Macaca fascicularis: one gene and its partners. The main gene of each other region encodes a partner of the protein of the gene in region 4 in a complex. Links are inferred from orthologs where the notes say so. Each region holds a gene or a part of one and is shown on either strand. Other genes may lie near its edges. The genes, in order: LIN7C, LIN7B, LIN7A and APBA1.

Region 1 (7,337 bases), on a different chromosome or scaffold from region 4:
AATAACAGTACCTTCCATATAAGGGTTACGAGGAAGAGTTATGAGTTCAGTTAACGACTGAACCACACAATACATAAAAAAGGGCTCAGCAAGCAAAAATGTTATGTTACACTGGTACCAATTAATCATAAGAAATACTGGCTGGGCATAGTGGCTTATGCTTGTAATCCCAGCACTTTGGGAAGCCGAGGTGGGTGGATCACCTGAGGTCAGGAGTTCAAGACCAGCCTGGCCAACATGGTGAAACCCCATCTCTAATAAAAACAAAAAAACCAAAAAAAACAAAAATTAGCCAAGCATGGTGGCAGGTGCCTGTAATCCCAACTACTTGGGAGACCGAGGCAGGAGAAAGCCCTTGATCCCGGGAGGCAGAGGTTGCAGTGAGCTGAGATTGTGCCACTGCACTCCAGTCTGGGTGAAAAGAGTGAAACTCCATTTCCAAAAAAAAAAATAAATACCAACCAAACCAAAAAAAGCCTAAGAGGTTGTATACATTTTTAGAAATGTATGAAGCATGTTAGGGGATTCCCATTGAGAAGTGCGAGGATAAATGTTATGAATTGAGACATTTTTAGAAGATTCAGGAGGTCAGCTATAATACTGTTATCTCTACTTTTTTTTTTTTCCCAAAAACTGTTTTTGTACAGTTTCTGTACCCCAGGTACTATAGTGCCCAGTATTCCATTACTGCTTTGCTTCCTTTTGACTTAAGTAGAAGATGTTTCTGATTTCATGTTATACTCAAGGACTAGAAATTTTTCTTTATATAGTATGGCCTTCTTCGTGTTTGCAGATAGAAAACTATGAATAAATGCAGTAAAGAAAGATATTTATTTATTTATTTATTTATTTGAGAGGGAGTCTCACTCTGTCACCCAGGCTGGAGTGCAGTCGCGCAATCTCCACTCACTGCAACCTCTGCCTCCCAGGTTCAAGAGAGTCTCTTGCCTCAGCCTACTGAGTAGCTGGGATTACAGGGGTCCACCACCACGCTTGGCTAATTTTTGTATTTTTAGTAGAGACGGGGTTTCACCCTGTTGGTCAGGCTGGTCTCGACCTCCAGACCTCGTGATCCACCCACCTTGGCCTCCCGAAGTGCTGGGATTACAGGCGTGAGCCATCAAGCCCGGCTGAAAGATAATTTATTTATTTATTTATTTGAGACGGAGTCTCCCTCTATTGCTGAGGCTGGAGTGCAGTGGTATGATCTTGGCTCACTGCTACCTCCGCCTCCAGGGTTCAAGTGATTCTTGTGCCTCAGTCTCCCGAGTAGCTGGGACTACAGGTACCCGCCACCACGCCCACTTAATTTTTGTATTTTCAGTAGAGACAGGGTTTCACCATGTTGGCCAGGCTAGTCTCGAACTCCTGACCTCAATTGATCTGCTCGCCTCGGCCTCCCAAACTGCTGGGATTATAGGCATGAGCCACTGCGCCTGGCCAGAAAACAAATTTTTAAATTTGTGGTAAAGAAAGCTTAAACTTAAAAAGTTAATCAAATGCAATGGAAGCAAATAGACCTTCACCATTCTGATTTCCCATCACCAGAATGACTGATAAATGGGGACTGTTGGTTCATCAATTATTTTGATTTATAAAGTTATAATATGTAAGTCATATAAAAATTTCCAATGAAGAAAAAAAAAACGGAAAAAAATAAAATGCTTTTGACTAAATCTAAAATGTAGCTAACATGTGCTCAAATTTGTGTTTCATTAGATCATAGTTTGATGATTTAGAAGGCACTCTAAATCATATGTGATCAGGTGCTGTATTGTAATTGTACTGTAGGATTTTCTGCTGTAAGATTGTTGGGAGTGTTTGTTAATAGAGTATGTTAGAATTGTAAACAAGAATCAGAGGTGATGTAATCTGACTTTCTTACCCTGCTAAATGGCAACGACTAGTACAGCTGTCTCAGTAACTGTGGGGAATTCGTTAGGACCTTCTTCAGATACCACAGATATCAAGATCTGCAGATGTTCAAGTCTCCGATATAAAATGATGTAGTATTTGCATATAACCTTATGCATATCCCCCCTCCATACTTTAAATAATCTCTAGATTACTTACAATATCTGATGCTATGTAAATAGTTGTTATATCACATTGTTTAGGGAATAAGGACAAGAAAAAAATGTACATGTTCTATACAGACACGATTTTTTTCTCTGAGTATTTTCAATCTGCAGTTGGCTGAAACGTGGAACCCATGCATATAGAGGGCTAACTGTAATTCATCCTAAGGGGCTAAGCCTTCTACTGAAGAATGGAAAAGAAGTCTGTTAACAGCAAAAAACAAAGCCATGACTATCAAAACTAAATGCCACAGAAGTTCCACATTTTGTGTTGCATTTAAAAATACAAAGACTGGTCGGGCGCAGTGCCTCACGCCTATAATCCTAGCACTTTGGGAGGCCGAGGCGGGCGAACTGCCTGAGCTCAGGAGTTCGAGACCAGCCTGGGCAACACGGTGAAACCCCGTCTCTACTAAAATACAAAAAATAGCCGGGCGTGGTGGTGTGCGCCTGTAGTCCCAGCTACTCGGGAGACTGAGGCAGGATAATTGCTTGATCACGGAGGCGGAGGTTGCAGTAAGCCGAGATCGCACCACTGCACTCCAGTCTGGGCGACAAAGCAAGACTACGTCTCCAAACAGCAACAACAAAAACACAGAAGACCACCAATATGTTAGAATCTTAACAACTAGCTTTCAAAGAAGAAACCTACTCCTGTTAACACCAAACAGATTTGTTCCCATCCATAAAACAGTGCTACTGTGCTCAAGAGGAAGATGTCACAGACTTAGGCCTAACTCGGCAAGTCTTCCCAGAGTAGCTAGTCCTCTAAAATGATGCTTTAATTGGCTTAAGGGTAAGAATCTCATTTACAGTGAGACTTCCAAATGGTGAACGCAGTAAAGAGCAAATCAGCAACATTAAGTGCACATTTCTTTGTGGGAAGGCATTAGGAAAGAAGTTTTTCTAAGTACAGTAATTCTAAAAATGTGTTTTCTTAGGGAACAATAGTAGTATTTAGACTGTAACTGCAAATGTTAATATGTGCAATATAATTTCAGTCTCCATCCTATAATTTTTTTTTTTCTTTAACCACAAGTACTCAAAATGTTTATTTGTACTTCTCAGCTCCTATCAATGATTTCTAATGCTGGTGCATGAAAAGCATGCTTGAAATTGTTTGAAATAAAGGATTAGGGACAGAGTGGAATGCTGGAAATCTGTAAAAGGACTGGAAACGCTGGAATGCTGGAAATCTGGTAGGCGCATAGCCAGTTATTTTCACAGGCTTCTCTAAAAAAAAATCACTCAGAAGAGGAGGTTTTATTTTCCTTGACAGTCTGCTCTAGGAAGCAATCAGCCAACCAGTTTGCAATTGTAGGGTTTGCAAGAAATGAAAAACACTGCACCTGCAAGCGTTTTAGCATCTACCACTATTCTGCTTACTTACGTAACCTCCTTCCCAAGACCAAGTGAGTAGGATTGTTTTAAAGCAACCTCTCCATTTCTAGGAGGGGCACAAAAGCTAGCAAATACCCCAACCCAAATACAAGCGATGTTGTGGAAAAAGTAATGAAGGAGTATGTGTGTAAACAAGGGGGAAGGGAGGTTCTGTTGAATTGTACCGTGTGTGTTCTCATGTTGTACAGGCATTGAGTGTAGTCTGTGCGAACCGGGTGTGTGACGTTTGCTTTTCGGGTATATGGGTCTCTGAATGCTGCTTCTGCTGTGCCCACCAAGGGAGCGCGTGTGCGGCGTGTGTCTGCGAAGCGGGCAGGTTGTGTTTAGTTGTGCTGTGCTTCGGGACAGTCCGTGTGAACAGAGGAGAGCTTAGAGTAACAGTTGAAATACCGTAAGCGCCCTCACTAAAGCCAGGCACAGAACAACGGTGGCCTCAGGCGCCGGCACAAGGGATAGCCTGGCTCCGGATCTCAGGGCCTGGGTCACTCCTCCTCCCCTCCAGCGACACAGCACTCTCCCAACCCTTCCACCAACCTCGGCCGAGCCTCGGCTGCACTCACCCCTCTCCAGTCGCACGGGTTCCCCTAACGCCGCCATCTTCTCCCTAGCCCACAGACCCACAGGAAATGACGACAGAAGGGCTGAGGTGGAGGGGCGGGGCCTAGAGGAAGCCGGAAAAGTGAGTACCGGCTAGTATCGCGAGATCAGGAGGGTGGCCGAGGGTGTCGCCGGGGCCATCAGGGTAAGGGTACCTGGACTTGCGGCTTTTGAGGTTGGCCTGGCTCCGCTCCTTCCGCGGTGGCGAGGTTCCCCGGCCTCCTAGGGTTGGAAAGAGCTGCTTTCATGACTCTCGTTCCCTGCCTCGGGCTTCCCTTATCCGAATCGCTTCGAACCCTTGGCTCCACGTAGAGGAGTCAAGCCTGGATTCTAGTCCCACCTTGCCCATTAGCAGCTCTGTGATCTGGGACTGTTCTCTTACCCTCTCTCAGTCTCAGTTTCCGCCTCTGTACAACGAGAGGTCCTATCTCTTAGGTCCTTTCAATTTTTAAACTCTGGGATGTGGTGGCAATTAAATATGTAATGACATGTCAGTTCTCAGTTTGTGACAGCATTGCTTTAAATTTAAAAATCCACGGCTTGAATCTTCCCTCCAAATCTGTTTAAGGGTGGAAAGTACAAACAGCATGATAACATATCTGGGTGAGGGAGAGAACAAGGTGCTTTGGTGCACCACAAAGTAACAATTTTATAAGCAGCTGATTCTTATGAAATCTTAAGTAAATTAAATATTGTGAAGCAAATAGTATTCTTAATGCATTACAGATTCTTTGAGCCACTCCTGAAATTTTCGCGAACCAAGAAGAATTTTAGTATTTGGATTTGACTAACATTTATCCAAGCCCTTAGTCTGTACTGATACTGTGGTAGGTGTGTTTACATCCAGTATTTCAACACTTCATGATGCGACTGTTTTAATAACCTGGTTGCCGCTGGTCCACCCTTTCCATTCACCTTTAGTATTTTCTTCTCCAAATCCATCACGGATATCTGCCATCACTATGCTTCTTTTTTCTCCCCTTGAATTCTGATTTCATCATCACAAGATCTGTTCAGAAACTTTCAATAGTTCTCTCCTGTTTCTTATTTCTAAAGCCTTGCATACTCTGACCCTAACTCATCCAGCTAAGTTCATTTCTTATTACCGCTAAGTGCAACCACCACTTCAGTCCGGGTGGGATAGTTTCAACCATATTTATTCCTGGTTTCAAGTCTTTTTGTTTGTTTAGAGACAGAGTTTCTTTCTGTTGTCCAGACTGGAGTGCAGTGGTGCGATCACAGCTCAAGAGAGCCTCCTGTCTCAGCCTTGCCAGTAGTGAGGACTTCAGGCAAGCACCACCATGCCTGGCAAATTTTTAAATTTTTAGTAGAGATGGGGGGTCTTGCTATGTTGCCCAGGCTCAAACTCCTGAGCTCAAGCAGTCTTCCTGCTTTGGCCTCCCAAAGTGCTGGGATTACAGGTGTGGGCCACTGTGCCGGGCCCCAAATCTTCATTTATGTTGTTCTTGTGTGGAATGCCCTTCTTCATCCCCTCCTGTTCTCCAAACTTTGTAGACACTCAGTTGAACCCATTTCATGGGTCCCTGCTGAAGACATGCCACTTCTACCAAGCCTTTCTCCATATTGTTCCACTTTTTTGTCCTCTGATGGCCTAAATACCCTGCAGTAACACTCAGGTGCTTATCTCTTACTCATTGTTGTCTTTTTTTCCTGCTGCAAATGTGTTCAAGAAATGTTTATTAAGCACCTAATATGTACCAGGTGCCTTGATAGGAATACCAGGTAGAGCAAGACAAATGCAAACATTGCTCTTATTTCTTCAAATATTTTTTCTTTGCATTCTCTTGCTCCTCTCCACTGGTGACTATTGGAGTCGTGTGCATGTACATAGTATACATGTATATTGAGCTAACTGGCATTGTCTCACAGCTCAATGATGCTCTTCTTTTTTTCAAGGTTTTCTTTATGTTTCCTTTTGGATAATTGCTAGGTTTTCATGTTCATTAATCTTTTTTCAATATCTAATATTGAAATCCTGTCCAGTTCATTCTTCATATAAAACATTGTAGTTGTTGCTTCTACCAGTTTGATTTGGGTGTGGGTGTGTGTTTTACATCTTTTATATTTTAACATGCTCAATCTTTTCTGTAGCTTCTTAAACACATAGAATACAATTATAATGACAGTTTTAATGTCCTTGTCTACTAATTCTATGATCTACACTATTTCTGGCACAGTTTGTATTGATTGATTTTTCTCTTCATTACCGTTCATAATTTCCTTCTTCTTGCATGCCTGGACACTTTTTTTTTTTTTTTAAACAAAATGGTAGACTTTGTAAAATTCACTTACTTGAAAAACAATTTTGTTCTTTTGGGGTCTGATTTTTTTGTTGTTGTTGTTAGGTGGAACCAATTCAGTCATTTATGTAGGGCTAATTGTATACCACTACTAAGACAGTACCCTTCAAAGTTCCTTACCCCATACCCAATGTGAATTATGTGGTTTTTCTACTTTGGTAGGAACAGGACTGTTCTTATGAACTGGGATTGTGGATTTTTTTGGCTCTTTTCCTTTCCCTGTCTGGTAATTTGTTTCTTCTTCTTTCTTCCTTCTCCTTCTCCTTCTTCTTCTTTCTTCTTCTTCAGATGGAATCTCGCTCTGTCACCCAGGCTGGAATGCAGTGACGCAGTCTCAACTCACTGCAGCCTCTGCCTCCTGGGTTCGAGTGATTCTTGTGCCTCAGCCATCCGAGTAGCTAGGATTACAGGCACCTACTACCACACCCTGCTAATTTTTGTATCTTTAGTAGAGACGGAATTTCACCATGTTTGGCCAGCTGGCCTCAAACTTCTGTCCTCAAGTGATTCGCCCACCTTGGTTTCCCAAAGTGCTGGGATTACAGGCGTGAGCCACTGCACCCGGGTGGATGATTAACACATGTAATCATCATAGAATTTCAGAATCCCAGGAATAGGTAGAAGATCCTAGAAGTTTCCAGAGAGGATAAAAGTTATATTCTAAGGACTGGAAATCAGAACAAGATTGTACTTCTCCTCAGCAGTACTGGAAGCTGAGGCACAGAGAGCAATTAAATTTTTAGAAAAAAATATTTGCAAACTAGATTTCTATACCCAACTGTATTAGGTTTCTAGGGCTGCCATAACAAGATAAAGCAAACTGGGTGACTTAAAACAATAGATATTCACTGTCTCACACTTCTGGAGGCTAGAAGTCAGAAGTCAAGATGTCATGTGCTCTCTGAAAGTGTAGAGGATTCCTTCCTTGTCTCTTCCTCAC
Region 2 (7,464 bases), on a different chromosome or scaffold from region 4:
GATCCACCCACCTGGGTCCCCCAAAGTGCTGGGATTACAGGCATGAGCCACCACGCCCAGCTACACTTCTTTTTCAGAACGCTCTCAGGCAGGCACAGTGGTTCATGCCTGTAAACTCAACACTTTGGGAGGCTGAGGCAAGAGGATTGTTTGAGCCAAGGAGTTCAAGACCAGCCTGAGCAACAAAGACCCCTCCATCTAAAACAAACAAAAAGATAAAATTTAAAAACCTCTCTTCTCATGGTTTCTCCCACTTGGCTTTCTGCCTACATTTCAGGCCATTCTCTGCTGTCCTCCTGACTTTTAAGTGTTAGAGAGGTTTGGGGACCAGTCCTAGGCCCTCTTAATATTCACTTGCCCCTGACATTCTTATCCACTCCTGTGGTTTTATTTACCACCTATGCCCCAATACTCAAACATGCCTGCAGACCAGGTTGCTCTTTTGAGCCCTAGACCTAGATCAATAGTTTCTCCCCATGGATTCTGCATAGGCTCCTCAAATTCAAAATATCCAGTATCGGTCAGGCAAGGTGGCTCACGCCTGTAATCCCAGCACTTTGGGAGGCTGAGGTGGGTGGATCACTTGAGGTCAGGAGTTCGAGACCAGCCTGGCCATCATGGTGAAACCCCGTCTCTACGAAAAATACAAACATTTGGCAGGCGTGGAGGTGCGCGTCTGTAGTCCCAGCTACTCAGGAGGCTGAGGCAGGAGAATCACTTGAACCCGGGAGGCAGAGGTTGCAATGAGCTGAGCTTGCGCCACTGCACTTGAGTCTGGGCAACAGAGGGAAGACTCTGCCTCTGAAAACAGACAAAATATCCAGTATCTCTCCTTCAGTGTAGACCATCTTAAAAATGGCACTGGCCGGGCGCAGTGGCTCACGCCTGTAATCCCAGCACTTTGGGAGGCCGAGGCGGGCGGATCACAAGGTCAGGAGATCGAGACCACGGTGAAACCCCGTCTCTACTAAAAAAAAAAAATACAAAAAATTAGCCGGGCGCGGTTGTGGGCGCCTGTAGTCCCAGCTACTCGGGAGGCTGAGGCAGGAGAATGGCGTGAACCCGGGAGGCGGAGCTTGCAGTGAGCCGAGATCGCGCCACTGCACTCCAGCCTGGGCGACAGAGCGAGACTCCGTCTCAAAAAAAAAAAAAAAAAAAAAAAAAAATGGCACCAAAGCACCTCAATACTGTCTTCTCCTGCACCTCCCAATCCCCATATATAGCCAAGCACCAAGGCTTGTCCAGACATTTTCCACATCTGCCCACCCATCTTCTATGCCTTGGCCCTGGTGCCAGCTGCCACTGGGATGGCTGTGGTACCCTCCTAAGCTGCCCCGTTGCTTCTCGTCTTGTTCTTGTCCAAACCAGTCTCCATAGTGGCTACAGTGATTTTTTTTTTTCCAGTAGATATGCAGTCTCACTATATTGCCCATGCTGGTCTTGAATTCCTGGGCTCAAACAGTCCTCTCGCTGCATGCAGCCTCCCAAAGTGCTAGGATTACAGGTGTGAGCCACTGCGCTCAGCCCAGTGATTTTTTTTTTTTTTTTTTTTGAGACAGGGACTCACTCTTTCACCCAGGTATAGTGCAGTGGTGTGATCATAGCTCACTCCTGCCTCGACCTCCTGGGCCCAAGCGATCCTCTCACCTCAGTCTCCAGAGCAGCTAGGACTACAGGCACACGTCACCAGGCCCAGCTAATTTTTGTATTTTTTTGTAGAGATGGGGTTTCATCATGTTGTCCACGCTGGTCTTAAACTCCTGGGCTCAAGTGATCCTCCCACCTCAACCTCCCAAAGTGTTGGGATTATGTGCTGGGATTACAGGCCTGAGACACAGCGCCCGCTCTGCCCAGAGTTTTTTTTTTTTTTTTTTTTTTGAGACAGAGTCTTGCTCTGTCGCCCAGGCTGGAGTGCAGTGGCCGGATCTCAGCTCACTGCAAGCTCCGCCTCCCGGGTTTACGCCATTCTCCTGCCTCAGCCTCCCGAGTAGTTGGGACTACAGGCGCCCGCCACCTCGCCCGGCTAGTTTTTTGTATTTTTAGTAGAGACGGGGTTTCACCGTGTTAGCCAGGATGGTCTCGATCTCCTGACCTTGTGATCCGCCCGTCTCGGCCTCCCAAAGTGCTGGGATTACAGGCTTGAGCCACCGCGCCCGGCCTTTTTTTTTTTTTTTTTTTTTTTAAGCGATGGAGTCTCGTTCTGTCAGGCTGGAGTGCAGTTGCCATCTCGGCTCACTGCAACCTCCGCCTCCTGGGCTCAAGCAATTCTCCTGCCTCAGACTCTCGTGTGGCTGGGAGTACCGGCGCACACCACCATGCCGGCTATTTTTTTTTTTTGTATTTTCGTAGAGACGGGGTTTCACCATGTTGCCCAAGCTGGTCTCGAACTTCTGAGCTCAGGCTATCCGCCCCCCTCAGCCTCCCAAAGTGCTAGGATTACAGGCGTGAGCCACCGCGTCCGGCCCCAGTGATCTTAAAATACAAATCTGAGACCCAACCTAGGCGACAGAGCGAGGCTCCGTCTCAATAATAATAATAATAATAATAATACAAATTTGAGTGTCATATTTTACTCTTAGGAGTTTGCATGAAGCCCCAAATCCTCAAGGCGCATATGCCAACGCAGGAGCCCAGGCATAAACTGTATCCTGCCGGCCTTTTCACCTCATCATCAACCAATCCTAACTCTGCTTCCAGTCCTGTGGACTCTTTCTGCGTGGTGGGGGTGACCCAAGCTCCACCTCTTGTTCATCTTACCTCCCAGGACTGTATGTCAATGTCCCTGCTCTAGGATCTCCTTCGTCTTCTAGATCCTTACCTCCCCACTCTCAGCTCTCATTACAGCCGTGGCTGGTGGTCTACCTCTCCCATAGACTGGAAGCTCCGTTCGGGCCGTGGGCTTGGCTGCCCTGCTCACCACAGTGTCCATGCCTTGGGCCCAGATGTTTCACAGGAGTTTGTTGAATGAATGTGGGAAAAGAATGGACAGGGGATAGACAGGTGTGGAGGGCAGGCAGACACTGATCCTGAAAGAGAAACACAGACCGAACCTACAACGGGAGGAGTCGCCAACAGGACCGACTGGCCGGGACGGAGGGCAGGGCCGCGGGTGGCGCGCGGCAGGGGGGTCGGGACAGTCCGGCGCTGGGGAGCTGGGCGCTCTCCAGGCTGCGCCTCCGCAGGGGGCGCCCGTGGCCCGGGGCGTGGCCTCGCGCAGCCCCGCCCTCCTCGCCCGCGCCGGGGCAGGCGGGCCGCTGGCAGCTGTGGCGCCGACATGGCTGCGCTGGTGGAGCCGCTGGGGCTGGAGCGGGGTAAGCGCGCGCCAGGGGGCCCTGCCCACCCGGGCCGCGGCCTGCATACCCAGCCCCCGGTCCCCGCCCTTCCCAGGCCAGGCCAGTGCGGGTGGGCCAGCGGACCCGGCGGGGTGGGCGGGGCGGGCGCCGGGGCCCGGCGGTCGCGGGGTGTGGGAGGCTCCCTGAACCCAGGCCGGGGCGGGGGGCGCCCGCCTTACACCCCGGCCTGTGGAGGGGTCCTGGGGCTGCAGGGCGCCCGGCTGGTGGCGGTCTCTCCTGCGCCACCCTGGACTCTGCGGGGTGTCCGACTGGGCTTCGGCGGTCCTCCCTGGACTGTGCGCTCGGCCTCACTCCGCCGCTCTCCTTGCTTCTCTGCGTCTCGGGGTCTCTGCGCCCCGCCCCCGCCCCGCAGACGTGTCCCGGGCGGTTGAGCTCCTCGAGCGGCTCCAGCGCAGCGGGGAGCTGCCCCCGCAGAAGCTGCAGGCCCTCCAGCGAGTCCTGCAGAGCCGCTTCTGCTCCGCTATTCGAGAGGTGAGCGGCGCGCGGCGCAAGGGCGCGAGCTGGTGGCCGCCGTCCTCTTCCTCCTCCTCCTGCTAGTCCCGAGCCCGGGGACTACGCCTCCCGGCAGCTCCCGAGGCGGCCAGCCTTGGGGTGCCCACGCTTCAGCTCAGTGGTTCTTCGGGAGTTGTAGTTTCCTCCGGCTCCGGTTGCGGGGGCGGGGCGGATCCTTGCGTGGCAGCGGGAGAGGGTCTAGGGGCCCGGACTCCTGCGTCTAGGGCTGGAGGAACTGGCAGCTCCCTGATGCCGCTGCCTCCTCACCCAGGTGTATGAGCAGCTTTATGACACGCTGGACATCACTGGCAGCGCCGAAATCCGAGCCCATGCCACAGCCAAGGTGGGCCCCGCACCTCATTGCTCCTGGTGTCTATTTAACTGCCTGGTCGAGCTCAGTATCTCCTTCATGCCAGTCATTTCTGTTTCCTCCCTCATGATTTTTGCTAAATCTATGTGCCACTCTTACCATTATTAAATAATCGCACATTTTTAACTTAAATGTCATACGAAGGCGTCTTTAGCAACTGCAAATGGAAACCAGTGTGGCATGACTGGCTAGAAGATAACCTTCAACATCTGTACAGTGAAACCAGGGAAGTCATGGCGCTCTGATCTCTCACTGCACAATAGTGAGATGCTACCTCTTGCTGCTGCCCAGAGGCTCGGATCTCCCTCCAAGCCTGGCTTTCATCTGTTTAAAAGTAAGATTGCGGCCAGGCACGGTGACTCACGCCTATAATCCCAACACTTTGGGAGGCCGAGTCAGGTGGCTCACTTGAGGTCAGGAGTTCGAGACCAGCCTGGCCAACATGGTGAAACCCCATCTCTATAGAAATACAAAAAAAAAAAAAAAAAGCCGATCGTGGTGGCGGGTGCCTGTAATCCCAGCTACTCGGGAGGCTGAGACAGGAGAATCGCTTGAACTCAGGAGGCCGAGGTTGCAGTGAGCCAAGATCATGCCACTGCACTCCAGCCTGGGCAACAGAGCGAGACTTCATCTCAAAAAAAAAAAAAAAAGATTGGCAAGTATGGGGTATTCAAGACACACACCAAATGGACACTTTCTCTTGCAAGTGAACAGAAAGGGACGCACAGTCATTACAGGGGGATCTTGCATTGTGCCATGGCACGTGTCCCATGTTTGGGGATAGTAACCCAGGCTAAATCGCTGTCCTCGGTTCAGATCCCCCACCCCAGCCTTCTTGCCCACCTGGCAGGGGCCCTCATCTTCAGTCGCTTTCTCTCTCCCAGGCCACAGTGGCTGCCTTCACAGCCAGCGAGGGCCACGCACATCCCAGGGTAGTGGAGCTACCCAAGACGGATGAGGGCCTGGGCTTCAACATCATGGGTGGCAAAGAGCAGAACTCGCCCATCTACATCTCCCGGGTCATCCCGGGGGGTGTGGCTGACCGCCATGGAGGCCTCAAGCGTGGGGACCAACTGTTGTCGGTGAACGGTGTGGTGAGTGGAGGGCTGAGGCAGGACTGCGGGACACAGTCTGTCTAAGGTAGCATAGCCCCTGCTTTTGACATTCACTCAACACACACTGACTGAGCTCTGCCTCTATGGCTAGCCCTGTGCTGGCCAGTGTTACAGACCCTGAGAGATGTTGGTCTCAGCTCCTACACTCAACCTTCCCTCTCTGGGGAGGGCAGTAGGCCTCGGCTGAAATAGTCCTAAGCCAGAGACATAATAATGAGGAACTGCAAAGTACTGTGACAGCCCAGATGTGGCACCAGGCCAACATACATACAGGAAAGTTTTGCAGAGTAAGGAACATTTGGGTTGGGTGTTGAAGGATGAGTAGGAGTTCTCCAGGCAAACAAGGTAAAGGGTGTTCCTGCTGAGGGTACTGTAGATAAGGATAAGGACTTGGCATACCTCTGAGCTGAAAAGAAAGGGCTTAGTTCTGAGGGAGGTCTGGGGCATGCAGGTAATTAAAATCACTGTGGTTAGGCAGGCTGTGGTGCCTCACACCTGTAATCCCAGCAATTTGGGAGGCCGAGGCAGGTGGATCACTTGAGGTCAGCAGTTCAAGACCAGCCTGGCCAACATCGTGAAACCCCGTCTCTACTGAAAGTACAAAAAATCAGCCGGGCGTGGTGGCAGTCATCTGTAATTCCTGCTACTTGGGAGGCTGAGGCAGGGGAATCACTTGAACCTGGGAGGCAGAGGTTGCAGTGAGCCGAGATAGTGCCACTGCATTCCAGCAAGGGTGACAAGAGTAAGACTCCCTCTCAAAAAAAAAAAAAAAAAAAAAAAAAAAAATCACTGTGGTTAGAGTTGAGGAAGGCATAACTGGAGAGGTGGCTGGGGTCAGCCATACAGGACCTGAGTGCCAGCCTGAGAAGCTGGGACTTTGTCCCATGGGTGCTGGGGAGCTATGGGAGGGGTGAGCCAGGGATAAGCTCAGCTTGCAGGTACAGAAGGACCCCTCTGGGACCCTATGGAGATGAACTGAGGGGAGAGACTAGAAGCCAGAAGGCTGGGCTAAGAGTCCAAGGAAAGGGGACAAGGCCTGAGCTGGCCCAGGGCTGTGGGGACAAAGAAGAGAGAGTCAAAGCAGGCAGGCATTAGTGGGCTGTGGGCAGGGAAGCCACAAAGATGGGTCTAGATGTTTGACCAGGGACTGAGGGAACATGGGGCTGTCCCTGACATGGGAAACCTGGGAGGTTTTGGAGGAGGACACTGAACCAGGAGTTAATGACTCTCCCACGAGGAGGACATGAGGTGTTGGCATCTCAGGGCTGGCACCAGGCTCACCAGCAGTGGGTCCCATCTCCCAGTGGGGGCTGGGTGAGGGCAGTGGGCCTCAGGCCCAGCTGTCTGTGTTGGGCCCTGCAGAGCGTTGAGGGTGAGCAGCATGAGAAGGCGGTGGAGCTGCTGAAGGCGGCCCAGGGCTCGGTGAAGCTGGTCGTCCGTTACACGCCGCGAGTGCTGGAGGAGATGGAGGCCCGGTTCGAGAAGATGCGCTCTGCCCGCCGGCGCCAGCAGCACCAAAGCTACTCGTGAGTCCCTGGGTCACCACATCTCTGGGGCCTCCACTGGCTCCCTTTAACCCCAGGCTCCCAAACCAGGCCAATTCTTCCTGGACCTTCCGGCCCTGGCCCCTTCTCTGGGATGCTGACCCTTGACCCCTGGCCCAGCCTCTCACCCCAGGCTATTCTGGCCAAATCCCCTGGGGACCCCTTAGCTTCCTTCCATCCCAAGATATGGAACCTACTGTGGCTGGGATCCCTCAGCCCACTTCCCCGGGCCCTTGACTCTGCAACCCCAGTCCTGCCTCTCTCATGACCCGGAGCCCCCCTGATCCCGGGTCCCTTCTCCACCCTCCTTGCAGGTCCTTGGAGTCTCGAGGCTGAAACCACAGATCTGGACGCTCACACGCATTCTCTCCCTGTACAGTATTTATTGTCCCTAGCACTTTATTTAAAGGTCTTTTACCCTCACTGAGTGTCTGTGTGTCTGTCCTGCATCCCTGGGTTGGTGTCTTGAGATGTGGAGGGAATGCGAGGAGCTGAGGTCAGGCCAAGCCCTTGAGAAGCCCTTTTCAGAGTCTGAAGACAGAGGTTGAGACCTCTCCCTAGGTCTGAAGGCGGAGATAGGCCGGCTTCCA
Region 3 (6,728 bases), on a different chromosome or scaffold from region 4:
TTTTTGTTATTAGCAGTCTGAGTCCAATTTTCCTACATCCTTGTCTGTACACCAAATTTAAAAATACATATTTATTATTTTTAAGTCAAAAATGAAATATTGGCCAGGCGCAGTGACTCACGCCTGTAATCTCAGCACTTTGGGAGCCCGAGGCAGGCGGATCACAAGGTCAGGAGATCGAGACCATCCTGACTGACACGGTGAAACCCCGTCTCTACTAAAAATGGAAAAAATTAGATGCACATGGTGGCAGGCACCTGTAGTTCCAGCTATTTGGGAAGTTGAGGCAGGAGAATGGCGTGAAACCAGGAGGTGGAGCTTGCAGTGAGCCAAGATCGTGCCACTGCACTCCAGCCTAGGTGACAGAGCAAGGCTCCATCTCAAAAAAAAAAAAAAAAAAAGAAGTATTTTATGTTGGTCTATACTTCTTTGATTACTAGGGAGTCTGAACATCTTTTCTGAGGTCTATCGACCATTTTTATTTTTTATTTTTTGTCCATGCATATCAACTGCTCATTCTGCTTAGATCTTTATTGATTTGTTAGAAGAATGAAGGGCAGGCTGGGCACGGTGGCTCATGCCTGTCTCCCAGCAGCTTGAGAGGCTGAGGGAGGTGGATCGCTTGAGGTCAGGAGTTCAAGACCAGCCTGGCCAACATGGTGAAACTCCATCTCTACTAAAAATGTAAAATTAGCCAGGCGTGGTGTTGCACACCTTTAATCCCGGCTACTCGGGAGGCTGAGGCAGGAGAATCGCTTGAACCCAGGAGGCGGAGGTGGCTGTGAGCCCAGATCAGGCCATTGCACTCCAGCCTGGCCAACAAGAGTGAAACTCTGTCTCAAAAAAATAAAAAACGGGCAAATAAACCAGAAAAAAATCCCTTTTGCACTAAGTATATGACAGTCATATACTGAAAGTGTTTTTCTGATTTGCCCTTTTTTTTTTTTTTTTACAGTGTTTGAGACAGAAACTTACACTGTGTACATCTGATTTTGTGGTTATGTTTCCCTGGGTATTTTAAATTAAGAATTCCCTTTCTATTGAAAAATGATTAGTGTTCACCTTTCTTTTATTTTAATTATTTTATGTTTTTATTTTACATTTAAATTTTAATTAATCTGTTATATTTAGCATAGTGTATGAAATTGGGTCTCCTTTTTTTTTTTTTTTTTTTTTTTGAGATGGCTGTAAACCTTACAATCTTACATAGGCTATCAATTTTTTTTTTTTTTTTTTTGAGATGGAGTCTTGCTCTGTCGCCTGGGCTGGAGCGCAATGGCACTATCTCGGCTCACCGCAAGCTCCGCCTCCTGGGTTCATGCCATTTTCCTGCCTCAGCCTCCTGAGTAGCTGGGACTACAGGCGCCCACCACCAAGCCTGGCTAATTTTTTGTATTTTTAGTAGAGACGGGGTTTCACCGTGTTAGCCAGGATGGTCTCGATCTCTTGACCTTGTGATCCACCCACCTCGGCCTCCCAAAATGCTGGGATTACAGGTGTGAGTCACCACGCCCGGCTGGGTCTCCATTATTTTGTATTATTTAATTTAGTTAATAGCCCTTTTCTCCTTTGGTCTAAAGTCCACATTTATAATAAATAATACTTTCCATGTGATGACTCTCCTTTTGGACTCTGTGCTATGTTCTACTATCTCTTTTATACACACAATAAGATACCACTTTAATCATTGTAGATTCTTAATAAATTTTAATACCTGATAGAGAAATTTCCTCTTTGTTACTATGTTTTAATTTTTTTCAAAATTTTGTTGACTAGTGCATTTACTCTTCCAGATGCAATTTGGAAATTTCATTCCTAATGTTAGCATTATAACTTAGGTCTTCATTGCTTTTCACCCGCATAACCTGAATCCCCATGCAGTCCATTCTGTGACCCCGTGCAGCCTAACCTGCTTATAGTTTAATCAGAGTGTAATACATAATAACGATGATGGTAAGATAACTCATTTGCCATGCTTTCTTAAAAATTTAAATTTGGGGTTCTTAATATGATACTAATTTCAGATTTGTCTCTCAGGGAAAAGAACATTGAACCTCCTCCCTTTAAGAAGTGTCATTGTCTTTTCAGAGTGTGGAAGGAGAACACCATGAGAAAGCTGTGGAACTACTCAAGGCTGCTAAAGACAGCGTCAAGCTGGTAGTGCGATACACCCCAAAAGTTCTGGAAGAAATGGAGGCTCGCTTTGAAAAGCTACGAACAGCCAGGCGTCGGCAGCAGCAGCAATTGCTAATTCAGCAGCAGCAACAGCAGCAGCAGCAACAAACACAACAAAATCACATGTCATAGGTGAGAAGTGACTTATTTGATACAAGGAGTATATATATATATATATATATAAAATGTTCTAAAATATATTTTCTTTAGCTGAAACAAAACCATTAGATTTAAATAATCCAAACAAAATCAATCAAACAAAAGACAGTGATCTAAAAATATATAAACAAGATAGTTTATGTGCCATTCAGCTATATGCTCCACAAATGCAAGATAATTTGGAAAATGATGTACTTTGAAAGGGACAAGTATGGGCTGTAGGATGCTTTTAGACAAATTAAGAAAATGCAGCCTCGTGCAAACCCGGATCCTAAGGAGAAGAGTGTGAGCTGGATTCCAGGCCTCACTCACCCTGTTGGCCAGTTACCTTTACACAGTGTATTAACTGCACAACCTTATAGCACTGACCATGGAAAGATCTCCTTTAGAATACTGAGATACAATTTATTGGAAAAGTGCCCCACTGAAAAGAATGAAGCTGAGACCTGCCACTGTCCATGCTCTAAGAGATTCTGAAGTTCTCATGCTCCTTTAAAGTGTGTCTAACATACAAATGGCCAACAGCTATATGAAAAAATGCTCAGCATCTCTAATCATCAGGGAAAAGCAAATTAAAACCACAAAGAGATATCACCTCATACCTTTTAAATTGGCTATCATCAAAATGATGAAAGATAGCAAGTGCTAGCGAGGATGTGGAGAAGAGAGAACCCTTGCACACTGTTGGTGGGAGTATAAATTGCTACAGCCAATTTGACAGACAATACAGATTTTCCTCAAAAAGTTCAAATAGAATTCCATATGATCCAGCAATTCTGTTTCTGGGGAGATATTCAAAGGAATTGAAATCAATATGTCAAAGAGATGTTTGCACTCCCATGTTCAATACAGCATTATTACAACAGCCAAGATATGAAAACTGAAGTGCTATCAATGAATACGTTTCTTTAAAAGTGATAAGTATGTGATAGATATCTATATCTACCTACACACACACACACACACACACATGAATACCATTTAATATTTAGCCTTTAATTAGCAGGAAATGTTGTCATTTTTGTCAGCGTGGATAGGCCTAGAGAACATCATAGTAAGTGAAATAAGCCAGGCATGGACAGACAAATACCACATGATCTCACCTATGTGTGGAATCTGAAAAACTTTAATTCATAGAAGTAGAGAGTTGAATGTGGTTTCCAGAGGCTGGGAGGTTGGGAGAGGAGGGGAGAGAGAGAAAAGGGAAAAGGTCTTAGCCAAAGGGTACAAGTTTCAGTTAGGTAGAAGGGGAATAAGTTAAGATGATCTATTATACAATTTGGTACCTATGGTTAATAATATTGTATTGCATATTTCAAAATAGCTAAGAGAATGGACTGTAAATATTCTCACCACAAAGAAACAATAAGTATTTGTGGTGACAACTTTGGTAGCCTGATTTGATCATTCCACACTGTATACACGTATTGAAACATCACATTATAATCCATAAATACATAAAATTATTACTTGTCAATTAAAAATAAAACTTTAAGAGTTTTGAAAAAGTTGTAAAGTAGAAATAAAATGTGTCTAAGATTCTCCTGCCTTTTTCTAAATTCCACTTTGTAACAAAGAATACTAAATCAGGTTTTGCTACATATTATCAAGAAAATTGAAGAAAAAATGTTAAGAGACCCCATCTTTGAAGTCCCTACTATGCCCTATGCCCTTATCACATTTTGTCCTTAATCCTCAGAAAAAAATCCCTTCAAGGCAAGTATCAATAAAAAGTTTTTTAGATGAAAATATGAAGCTAAAATAACTTCAGTGGATCTCCCATGACTACATTTACAAGAAACATAGAATTCTTTTCCTTTTTACTCTACCAGGTTTTCATCTGCCAACATCAGATATTCTGGAGTTATATAAATTTTCCTTGCTATCCTTTAGAGAAGACAGTTCATATTGTTAGATACCTTTACACTATGGTGTCTGCGAATGTGTATTTGAAGTGAGCTTCAAATATTCTTAGAAAAATGATTGTGGGTAATAGTGGTTTTAGGTCATTCAACATCAGATTACTATTTGCACAAAGAGAAACACTGGATATAACATGAGGCTTTCAGTTGTTTGTGACACTTGTGAAAAGAAGAAGCTACATAGAAAAGGGGGTAAAAGGTATGGGATTTGTTCTCCAACAATTCTGGGAATTCAACAATCTATCTTTCATAGGCTGCTATTTTTTATTATATATACCATGTTTCAGTATCTTTATCTCAAATTGCATTCTATCCTAAAAATACATTTATTGAACATTAAGTATTTATTTGACACTGTTATAAGTGAGGCACTGTTTAATGAGCTGCAAAAATGGCGTGAATAATGCAAAGTTTTTGCCCTCATCCCTACATTCTGGTTGCAGGAGATAGTTAATAAACAAATAAACAAGTAAATAAAAATATCCTATTGGGACCAGTACTTTGCAGAGTAGAAAAGGGGGTTTAAATAGAGAACTGCTTGGTGGTAACTTGACTGTGTGATCAGGGAAGATCTCTGAAAGGAGGTAACATTTCGATGGGACTGAATCACAAGCAGCAAGGAAAAAAGACTAAAAAGAGAAAGAAATAGCCAATGCAGTAGCTCTGTCACAGGCATATTTGAGGAACAGAAAGAAAGCCTGAGTAGTTAGAGAATAGTGAGTCAGAAGAACAGTGGTGGTGGCTATGGGGTCAATGGGATAGCTGGGGACCAGGTCACAGAGACCTTTGTGAGCCACTGAGGGAAGTTAGATTTTATTGCACTGGAAGCCACTAAAGGTTTTTAAGCACAGGAGTGACATGGTCTGATTTATTTAAAAGATTACTCTGGCTGCTGTGTGAATAGGTTATTGAAGACTGAGAGTGGAAGCAGAGACCAATTAGGAGGCTAATGTATAGTAGTCCAGGCAGGAAATATGGTGACTTGGTCTAGGATGATGTAGTTGAGACAGAGGTCTATAGACAGACAAGGACAAGTCATTTTGTCCACATCGTTCTCTGTTATCCATTCCAAATATAAAGCCACTTTACATTTGTACTTTTAGAGCTCTTAAAGATCTCTTTTGTGGTAATGACAATGCATTATTCCTTAGTACAACATTTACACTCTTTTTACTAACTCATTTTTCTCTCATCCTTGATAATATAGATGTATACCAATTCTCCTAATTGATTTACCACATTGGTCCATAGTAAAATTGTGCTAGTATTTTGAAACAAATATGTTCCCATTCAGACTTCTAAGGTCTTACTAAAGGCTTCCAATATTATACTCATTCAATCATCTTTAAAAGTATACAACTTGGCCAGAATTATTTGCTGGGCCATATAACTCAATTCCATTTCTCCGTTCCATCCATCTTCATTAAATTTCCTATGGTTTCACCACCACAGACTAGTTAGTATTTTTAGTAAAAAGCCTTTATTATGCAAACTGTGTTTTTTCTGGCATGAGATATAATAGAGTTCTATTTAGGTGAACATGAAATTTTTGTTTGTGCACTTGCAATACACATAAGCATGGTCCCTTGAGATAAAACTGTAGTGATCATTTCAGGTACAAATAAAATATAACCAAGTCATGTCATTCATGGATTTTCATGGTGACTTCAGTCAAAGAGACCTACATTAGCTCCTAATTACATTTTAATTAATTTGATTTCTAAGGACTAAATGGGATTTGTCACACTTGTTAATTCTTACTACAGTTGCTTCTGAAAAAAGTTTGAAGCTAATTTGAACTATTAGACTTTAAGCATCTCAGATTTTTTAAAAATTTAACCAGTCAAGCAAAAACCAATTAAAATCAAAATACTTGTCTGATATTATCTTATTGTTTATCAAATGAAATATAATTTCTAATCTGAAATTAGGAATAATGTGTTTTTTTATCTGAGATGGTAAAAGTTATAAAGCATCTAGCAATGATAAATAGTGAATACAAACGGAAAACAGATTTAATGCAAGTACTGTGCAGGGAATTTGTGTCTTATGCTTATTTTTAATTGTAAATTCTCTTAAAGTAAAAATCAATTGTCTTTTCCCCTAACTTCTGTATTTGACAATATTGAACGATATAGATTACATTTTCTAAAATGTAAAAAGTATTATTGTTGCGCAATAATATGCTAGAAATGTAAACAGAGAATATGAATAAGGGTTTTGTTAGCGCTATACCCACTTTTTTTGAGAAACAGTTGCATTAGTTCGTTTTCACACTGCTCATAAAGACATACCCGAAACCAGGAACAAAAAGAGGCTTAATTGGACTTACAGTTTCACATGGCTGGGGAGGCCTCAGAATCATGGCTGGAGGGGAAACGCACTTTTTTTTTTTTTTTCCTTTTAACGCGGATTCTCGCTTTGTCACCCGGGTTACAGTGCAGTGGCGCGATCTCGGCTCACTGCAACCTC
Region 4 (7,416 bases):
GGCACAGTGTCTATACTATTGTTACCTGCTTCAATGGTCAGCAGGTTGCCAGTGTTTTATTTTACTTTTAGTGACATGGTCTTGCTCTATTACCCAGGCAGAAGTGCTATGGCACAATTATAGCTTATTGCAGCCTCAACCTCCTGGATTAAAGCAATCCTCCCATCTCAGCCTCCCAAGTAGCTAGGACTACAGGAATTCGCCACCATGCCCACTAATTTTTTTTTTTTTTTTGAGAGATGGGGGTCTTACTATGTTGCCCAAGCTGGTCTTGAACTCCTAACCTCCAATAATCGTCCCACCTTGGCCTCCCAAAGTGCTGGGATTACAGGCATGAGCCAACATGCCTGGCTGCCAGTATCTTATATACTGCTTCCTGAAACACTTGAATAGCAGTTTTGACCCTTGTTAACAGGAGAAGGTGGATTGGAGTGCCTTATGAAAGATCTACTAAAAAGAAAAACAATAAAGCAGGCACAGGAAATCTAGAAATAGAATAGAACAAGACCAAAGAAGGGATTGAGACATGGATCTACATGCCATGTGGATCCACTCATTTCCTACGACGATCTGAAAATTTGGCTTTGAGTTTCCTGACAGCCAAGGCAAGAGTAACAATAGCACTTAAGACAATGATTCATGCTATCTGGAAGAAATAGGAATATGTGTTTTTCATAGGGGTGGGGGAGGGAGGGAAATTTCCACATATGAACATTTGGTACATAATTAGTTTTGGAGGTCTCTGGGCTACCATTATAACTAACAATGATTACCTTTCTTTATATGGCACGTAATACTTTGCAGAGAAATTTCACATACTTTCTTTACACAAAAATCCTGTGAGGTAAGATTCGAGGATATTATTAAAGCAATAATGTAACCCTCATTCATTTATCTAAGAACCTAGTCTAACTGGAAACACAACACAAAAAGTAGAAGATAAGCAGAAAGATCTCTGAGATAGCAAACCAAACAGCAGTAAGTGTATGCACAGAAAAGAGCCTCTCACTCAGAACCTATATTCTCTTATTTAACCTGAAATTCTAACAAAGTTAATTTCCTTCCTAAAACCGCAGTGGATTAAAAGTAACAAAACAAAAACCATTACAGAGAAGCACTCTGAAAGCCTCCTAGATGAGTACACAGGAGAGCAGAGGCAAGAACTAAAAACAATCAAAAGAGCAGTTAGCGCAAAAACAGAAAACTCTAAACACTCACTAAGTAGGATAAGCTCAGACTCCCTCGGCCCTGGATCCTGACCCTCCACGAATCAATTCCTCACAAGCCACCTCAGCGATCTTTCAGGAACTGAAATGTAATCCTGCTTGCCTGCTCCCAAATCTTGGCAACCCTTCATTGACTTTCCAGGCTCATAAGACAAAATTATTATTTAAAAACGGTCCACAAGGTCTCCTGAGGTTCTGATTGCTGCCTGCCTCTCCAGCTTCATCTCACTTCCGCCCCACCTGCTTGGGCCTTTTGACATTTCCTTCCCTTTACCTGGAAGTGTCTCACTGCTGCCTCTCCTGGGGGATCTGAAATGTCGTTTCCTTAGAAAGCCTTACCTAGTCCTGGAGTCTACATTAGATTTTCCCGTGCACCTTAGCGCCTTTGCAGTTGAGAATTTATCACAGTTGCACTTTGTCTGATTGTTTTATTTGTTTGTTTGTTTTTTGAGACGCCAAGGCTGGAGTGCAGTAGCGCGATCTCGGCTCACTGCAACCTCCACCTCCCGGTTTAAGCGATTCTCATGCCTCAGCTTCCCCAGCAGCTGGGATTACAGGCGTGCACCACCACGCCCGGCTAATTTTTGTATTTTTAGTAGAGACAGGGTTTCGCCATGTTGACCAGGCTGATCTCAAACTTTTGGCCTCAAGTGATCTGCCGTACTCGGCCTCCCAAAGTGCTGGGATTACAGGCGTGAGTCCCTGTGCCTGGCCAGTCTAATAGTTGAATACCTATTTCCTTCAGCCTACTGTGAGCTCTGGTGGAAAAGGACTATATCTGGCCCGTACATATGCCAAATAAGTATTCACTGGAAAAAAAAAAAGAGTAATGTCACAGGACAAGCATACATCTTCCTAGTATATAATCTTAAATTTTACTAAAAGATCTTTTTGAGAAGGTAGCTGTTTTATTAAAGAAAAAAAATTACGAAGTACAATGCAGAATTCATACGAATATTAAAGCTAAAACAAGACTTTCAGAATGCTTTAGGCTACACCCCCAGACTTCTCTGGAGACATTGTGCTTAAAATACTATGGAAACATGGTGTGGTAAAAGATGCATTTCCCAAGGGATCTGGATAACCAGCGCTTATCCTCATTTTACTGGAGGAGAATATATGTCTGGAGAGGGCTTTGCAAACTACTAGGCTTTGTGCGTTATAACATTATTATGAAAAATCTGTGTTTCTAAGACGGGGAATGATTTAGTTATTGCATTGCTAATTACAGGTGGGGCTAGCGCCAGAGCCCAGGCCTCTCGGGGCCTGTCTAGCCCACAGCTTTTCATTAATACACAGCACCTGCCACCTGGTCCCTGCTGCAAAGGGTGGCCTCTCGAGCTAGGAGCCATATCTAGGGCGGATAGCCTATGCTAGGCTCAAAGACACTCTCAAGTTCCGATCAACCAGAACTGAGGAGCGGGTAGGAAAACCAAGCCGAGCCTTCCCCGGCTTCACAATCCGCAGGCTCTCCGCTGTCCCTGGCCGGACTGGGCAGTTTCCCTGGAGAACTGCAGCCCGGCCCGCTTCGCTCAGGCCCAAACCCGCGCGGCTCTCCCCCTGGCGGGGAACTCGCAGCACTGCGGCGCATTCCGGAGACGCCGTCAATCTCCGGATTTGAAGCGCAGGCGGTATCTAAGGGGCCTGGGAAGCGGGAAAGCTCGGGAGTCACTCACGAGAGAACACCCTGCAGGAGTCGACCCAGCTGCCTGGCTTCGTGGTCCTGCAGCGTGGCCCGTTGCTTCGCAGAGAGGTTGGCCACAGCTCCTGGCTAGGAAACTGGGGACCCCTTGGTTTGCCACCGAGGAGGGTGGAGGTCCCCGTCAGTCCCCTCGGGGATGCAGCCGCATTTTCCCCTCCGTGCGTCTGGCCGGGAACCAGAGGATAGGGCTGTGGAACACAGGCAGGGCGGGCCCTTCGAAACCCGGACGCGAGGGGAGGCGAGAGGCGCCGGTGTCCCGCACGCCCACCGGCGCCGAGGCAGGGGAGCTGCGGCCAGCTGCCCACGGAGGACGCCGGCGGCGCCGCCGCCTCGGGCTCGCGGGCCGCGCGCGCACGCGAGTGGGCGTGGGAGGCAGGGGCGCTACTAGCAGGCGGCGTGCGCGCGCGCGCTCCCCCGCGCCCTCCCTCGCAGGCCCGCCCGGCCCCGGCGCGCGTCACGAGGGGAGAGCTAGAGAGCTGGAGGGCGGGAGGGAGGGTGGGGAAAGGGGGTGGGGCCGCGAGACCGGAGGGTTCCGAGCGGCGGCTGCAGAGCCGGAGCTGGGCGAGGGCGGCTGCGGTCCCGGCGGCGGCGGCGGCGGCGGCTGCGGCGGGAGAAGATGGTGGCGCTGGAGGTAGCAGCGGCTGGAGCGGAGCTTTATTCCCAGGCTTGGCACCAGCGCTGTCACTAGCGCCGCCTGCTCCCGCGGGCCCGCGGACCCAGCTGTCAGGCAAGGTACCACAGCCAGGGAGGGGTGGGTGAGAAGGGGTGCCCGGCGCTGATGCGGCCCCCGACGGAGCCCGGGTCCTAGCCAAAGGGCGCCCCCGGACGCGAGAGGGGCTGCCTGGAACAATAGTGCGGAGGAGCGGGGGCAGCAGGCGACATCCAGGGGGCAGTGCCTGGAACCATCAGCCAGCGAGGCGGGGTAAGGCGGCGTTGCGGGCGAGACGGCTGGGGTCCGGTGCCCGCTCAGATGCCAGGCTTCGGGCGCAGCAGGCGGGCCTGATGACAGTCATGGCAGGAGTGAGTGTGTGAGAGTGTGTGTGTAAAAGGTATAGCAGAGGGGATGGGGGTGGCGGACGGAGGTGTTGGGGGGTGACATTTCCAGGAATCCCCGCTAGGATCCCTCATCTCTCGGCTGACTCTCCTGGAGAAAGAATGTGATGATGGAAACGGTGAGGTGGGCAGGATGCACTTGGTGTGTGAAGTGTGGAGGGAGGCAGTGGGGTAGGGGCGGGTTTGTAAAATTCTGTGTATGTGTGTGTACGCGTTTGGTTGCATCCACGTTCCCCAAACAGCGCCCCAAACCCAGAGATCTGCCGCTGCCCTGACTTGATGTCACCGGCTGAGACTGTGGGACAGTGTTTGTTATTTTGACCCTGCAACTCTGAGCACAGTCTCTGTTCTGCTCCTGCGTGTGGATGGCCCAGTGTAGGGATTCTCGCTTCCCCTTCCTCTGGCCTCATTACATGGGGATGTGGAAGTGAGCATGTTGCTTTGAGGCACATGGCAGGGAAATAGGATAACCGTTACGCATTCTGGGCTTGCTGGTGTACCCGGTTTTGAAGGGGGCTTCCATCCTCTGATACTACTTCTCTGCTTAGCACCTGTTCCATAAGGGTCTTGTACTCCCTGACTCTGCAGTTTCTATTGTTTTTCTCTTGTCTGACCTGAAGGAGAATAGTGTTGAATGATCAGATTCCTCTTCCTGTCCCCACAACTTTCAATGCTAGCTAGACCTTCTCCTTCCACATTTAAGCACTGAAAACCTTATGGCTAGAGGATGGATGGTCTTTGTATTGGTTCTTTTAGAATGAACTCTGGAGGTGTGTACGTATAGAGAGATGCGGCGGGGCGGGGGGCAGTCTTTAAAAAAGAAGAAAAATATCACACGGAGAAGTGTTTGGTGCCCACCTGGTCAGCGTCACACAGCCAGGGCGTTTTCCTCAGGAAACAGGATACTTTATTTCTACTGCTGGTGACATCCACTCTCCCAGCTGTCACAATAGCTAGGTGGTGCCGTGTATCATTTGGAAACTGAAATCTCCCAAGACCCACAGTGATGGGGTCCCAGGTCAGTAAAGTCCCTGCTTTCCTACCTGATATAGCCCACTAGTAGGGAATTGGGAAAAATGTCAGGCTGGCAATACCTCACCCAGTGGGAACAAGGACACAGAAATGCATCGAGTCTATGGCTGTTTAATTGTCTCTGCGTGGTAAAGATAGGTGTGTGTAGGGTTGGGTAGAGATAGGCAGGGAGATGGCATATTCATGTGTATCCAGGGCAGTGTGATTCCTCCTCGCCTGTATTTCTCCTGCGGTATTCACAGGAATGAGTATCTCGACACTACTGTATTAAAATGTTGTATGTCTAGCTTAACCTGTTTAGGACATATTTTAGTCATAACACCTTAAATTCTACTGCATTGCTGTCGGAATCCAAACTGGCTGCACGGTTCTCTTCAAAAAGCCGGTAGCAGTCATGGCTACACAAGTAAATATACAACATGTTGGCACCAGAGGTTTCTTTTTCTTTTTTAAAATTTTTGTTTTGCATTCTTTTATGGGCAAAGGTTGCACGATATCGTTGTTTCATTGAAAATAATAAAACTAGGGCTATCCACATATGCTTTTTTTCTTCCCATATATCTTATTTAATGATGTATAGACTAGGTGTTCTTGAAGTGTCAATGTAAAGTAAATTTCCCCATGTTCTTCAAGTCAAGCCTTCTAAGATTTTAATATGAGGTTGGTTGTTGGCTCTCATCCAAGATTTAAGGATAGATTTGTAAAAATGAATTTTGAATCTTAGTTTTTTACTCTCTTATTTGTTATGCCAAATCCCTTTCTGAGAAAAGTACTTATGGAATTTAAAAGCCATTCTAAGAGGTTTTGGTTTAAAAAAAAAAAAGTCATCATCTTTTATATTTGCAAGTAAGACCAGGGATGTAAATGTCTTACAAGAAAGTTTAATAATATGAGGAATTACCAGGTAAATACACTGTTTAGAGAAAGAGAAATTACACAGCAGCATAATCGATGACTCAGGAATCAGTGATTTCTTTTCTAACATAAACGTGATCATTTTTATTTTTATTTATCTTTTTGAGACAGGGTCTTCCTCTGTCGCCCAGGCTGGAGTGCAGTAGTGTGATCATAGCTCACTGCAGCCTCAAACTCCTGGCTCAAGCAATCCTCCTGCCTCAGCCTCCTGAATAACTGGGACAATAGGCACATGGCACCACACCCAGATATTTGTTTATTTTTTTCAGAGATAGAGTCTCGCTACGTTGCCCAGGTTGATAGTTTTAAAAATGCAATATCTGGCTTTTCTAAAGATTGGACTGGTATAAGGTTCATGAGACAGCTCTGGTAAATGGTTGTACCTTTTGCTGTGGCCTGCAGCAAGCCATTTTTTTGTGCATGGATGCCTTTCCTTCACTTAAAATAGCATCAGTGCTTTTCTCTACCATTATTGAGTCTCTTAAGGGTTTTTTTTTGTTATTTGTTTTGTTTTTTGTTTTCATTTTGGTTGTTGTTATTGTTTGTTTGTTTCAGAAGACTTAGGAGTAAGAGATATTTGAAAATGACCTCTGGGTCCAAAAGGAATTAACTGTATGTAGTACCTTGGGGAGATAGGACTTTTAGCCTACAAAGAAGAAGTAATTGTTGCTAAAACTGAGAGAATTTCAAGCAATGAAATCTGAAGTTAACTCTCTGGGTTACAATAGTTAATTTGCAAACATCTTGCCTCCTGTGTCTCAGACCCACTGTACCTAGGGGTATAGGGGACAGGGAATGTTGAGAAGGGTTGGAGATTCAAAGAATGCTAAGTCTTAGATCCTGCCCAGAGGTGAATCTTGGTCTAGAAGGAGAAAAGAGGAATATGTGTTACTAACTGTAAAAATAGTGAAAAAATGATTAAGTGCTGAAAAAGCAGTATTCCTGCAGGGCTGTGGGAATTCACAGGGTACAAAATGACTTCTGATGGAAGAATCAGGGAAGGTTACATGGGATATAGCATTTGAGCTGTGATTAAGGTGGCATTTGGGTTGGCAGAGAAGGAAGGGCATGCTTGGGGGAGGAACAGCGTAGCACAGGCCTGGCAGTGGAAAATGTATGCCTACACAGGGAACAAAAAAATGGTGTGCTTTGGCTGCAGCACTAGGAATGCCAAGAGATGTAATGAGGGATAAAGCAAGAAAGAGAGGTTTGTTCAAGGTGGTGGAGCAACTTGTACACCAAGCTAAGGAGTGTGGATTTTGTTCAGTAAGGACTGGGGAGCTATAGAAGATTTGTGAGGAGAAAGATTGACAGTATCAGAACTGTGCTTTGGGGCAATAATTTTGTAGTATTATGTTGGATGGAATGACATGGGAAAAGACTGGCAGGAGGGAGACCAGATAGACCCTATTGTCAAAGTAGGGGAAAGATGGAAAGAGGCAGTGGGAGGGAAGAAGGGAACACACCTAAGAGGTGGTGTGCAAGAAT

Evidence for each region.
Region 1: APBA1 (region 4) and LIN7C share a complex: the UniProt entries of both Homo sapiens proteins name them as parts of the brain-specific heterotrimeric complex. The link is inferred for Macaca fascicularis from reciprocal best matches to the Homo sapiens genes APBA1 and LIN7C.
Region 2: APBA1 (region 4) and LIN7B share a complex: the UniProt entries of both Homo sapiens proteins name them as parts of the brain-specific heterotrimeric complex. The link is inferred for Macaca fascicularis from reciprocal best matches to the Homo sapiens genes APBA1 and LIN7B.
Region 3: APBA1 (region 4) and LIN7A share a complex: the UniProt entries of both Homo sapiens proteins name them as parts of the brain-specific heterotrimeric complex. The link is inferred for Macaca fascicularis from reciprocal best matches to the Homo sapiens genes APBA1 and LIN7A.

What each region holds. Positions count from the first base shown.
Region 1 is NC_088388.1:38,081,813-38,089,149, reverse strand, and holds the start of LIN7C (protein lin-7 homolog C), read right to left. Parts: upstream 4,101-7,337; 5' UTR 4,077-4,100; coding exon 4,040-4,076; intron 1-4,039. UniProt on the Homo sapiens protein: Plays a role in establishing and maintaining the asymmetric distribution of channels and receptors at the plasma membrane of polarized cells.
Region 2 is NC_088393.1:57,092,629-57,100,092, forward strand, and holds LIN7B (protein lin-7 homolog B), read left to right. Parts: upstream 1-3,244; 5' UTR 3,245-3,274; coding exon 3,275-3,311; intron 3,312-3,705; coding exon 3,706-3,824; intron 3,825-4,116; coding exon 4,117-4,188; intron 4,189-5,099; coding exon 5,100-5,309; intron 5,310-6,692; coding exon 6,693-6,856; intron 6,857-7,188; coding exon 7,189-7,210; 3' UTR 7,211-7,294; downstream 7,295-7,464. Other genes in the region: C19H19orf73 (putative uncharacterized protein C19orf73 homolog), read right to left, coding at 7,295-7,464. UniProt on the Homo sapiens protein: Plays a role in establishing and maintaining the asymmetric distribution of channels and receptors at the plasma membrane of polarized cells.
Region 3 is NC_088385.1:87,580,452-87,587,179, reverse strand, and holds part of LIN7A (protein lin-7 homolog A), read left to right. Parts: intron 1-2,088; coding exon 2,089-2,307; intron 2,308-6,728. UniProt on the Homo sapiens protein: Plays a role in establishing and maintaining the asymmetric distribution of channels and receptors at the plasma membrane of polarized cells.
Region 4 is NC_088389.1:100,366,438-100,373,853, reverse strand, and holds the start of APBA1 (amyloid-beta A4 precursor protein-binding family A member 1), read left to right. Parts: upstream 1-2,839; 5' UTR 2,840-2,979; intron 2,980-3,425; exon of another isoform or gene 3,426-3,850; intron 3,851-7,416. UniProt on the Homo sapiens protein: Putative function in synaptic vesicle exocytosis by binding to Munc18-1, an essential component of the synaptic vesicle exocytotic machinery. May modulate processing of the amyloid-beta precursor protein (APP) and hence formation of APP-beta.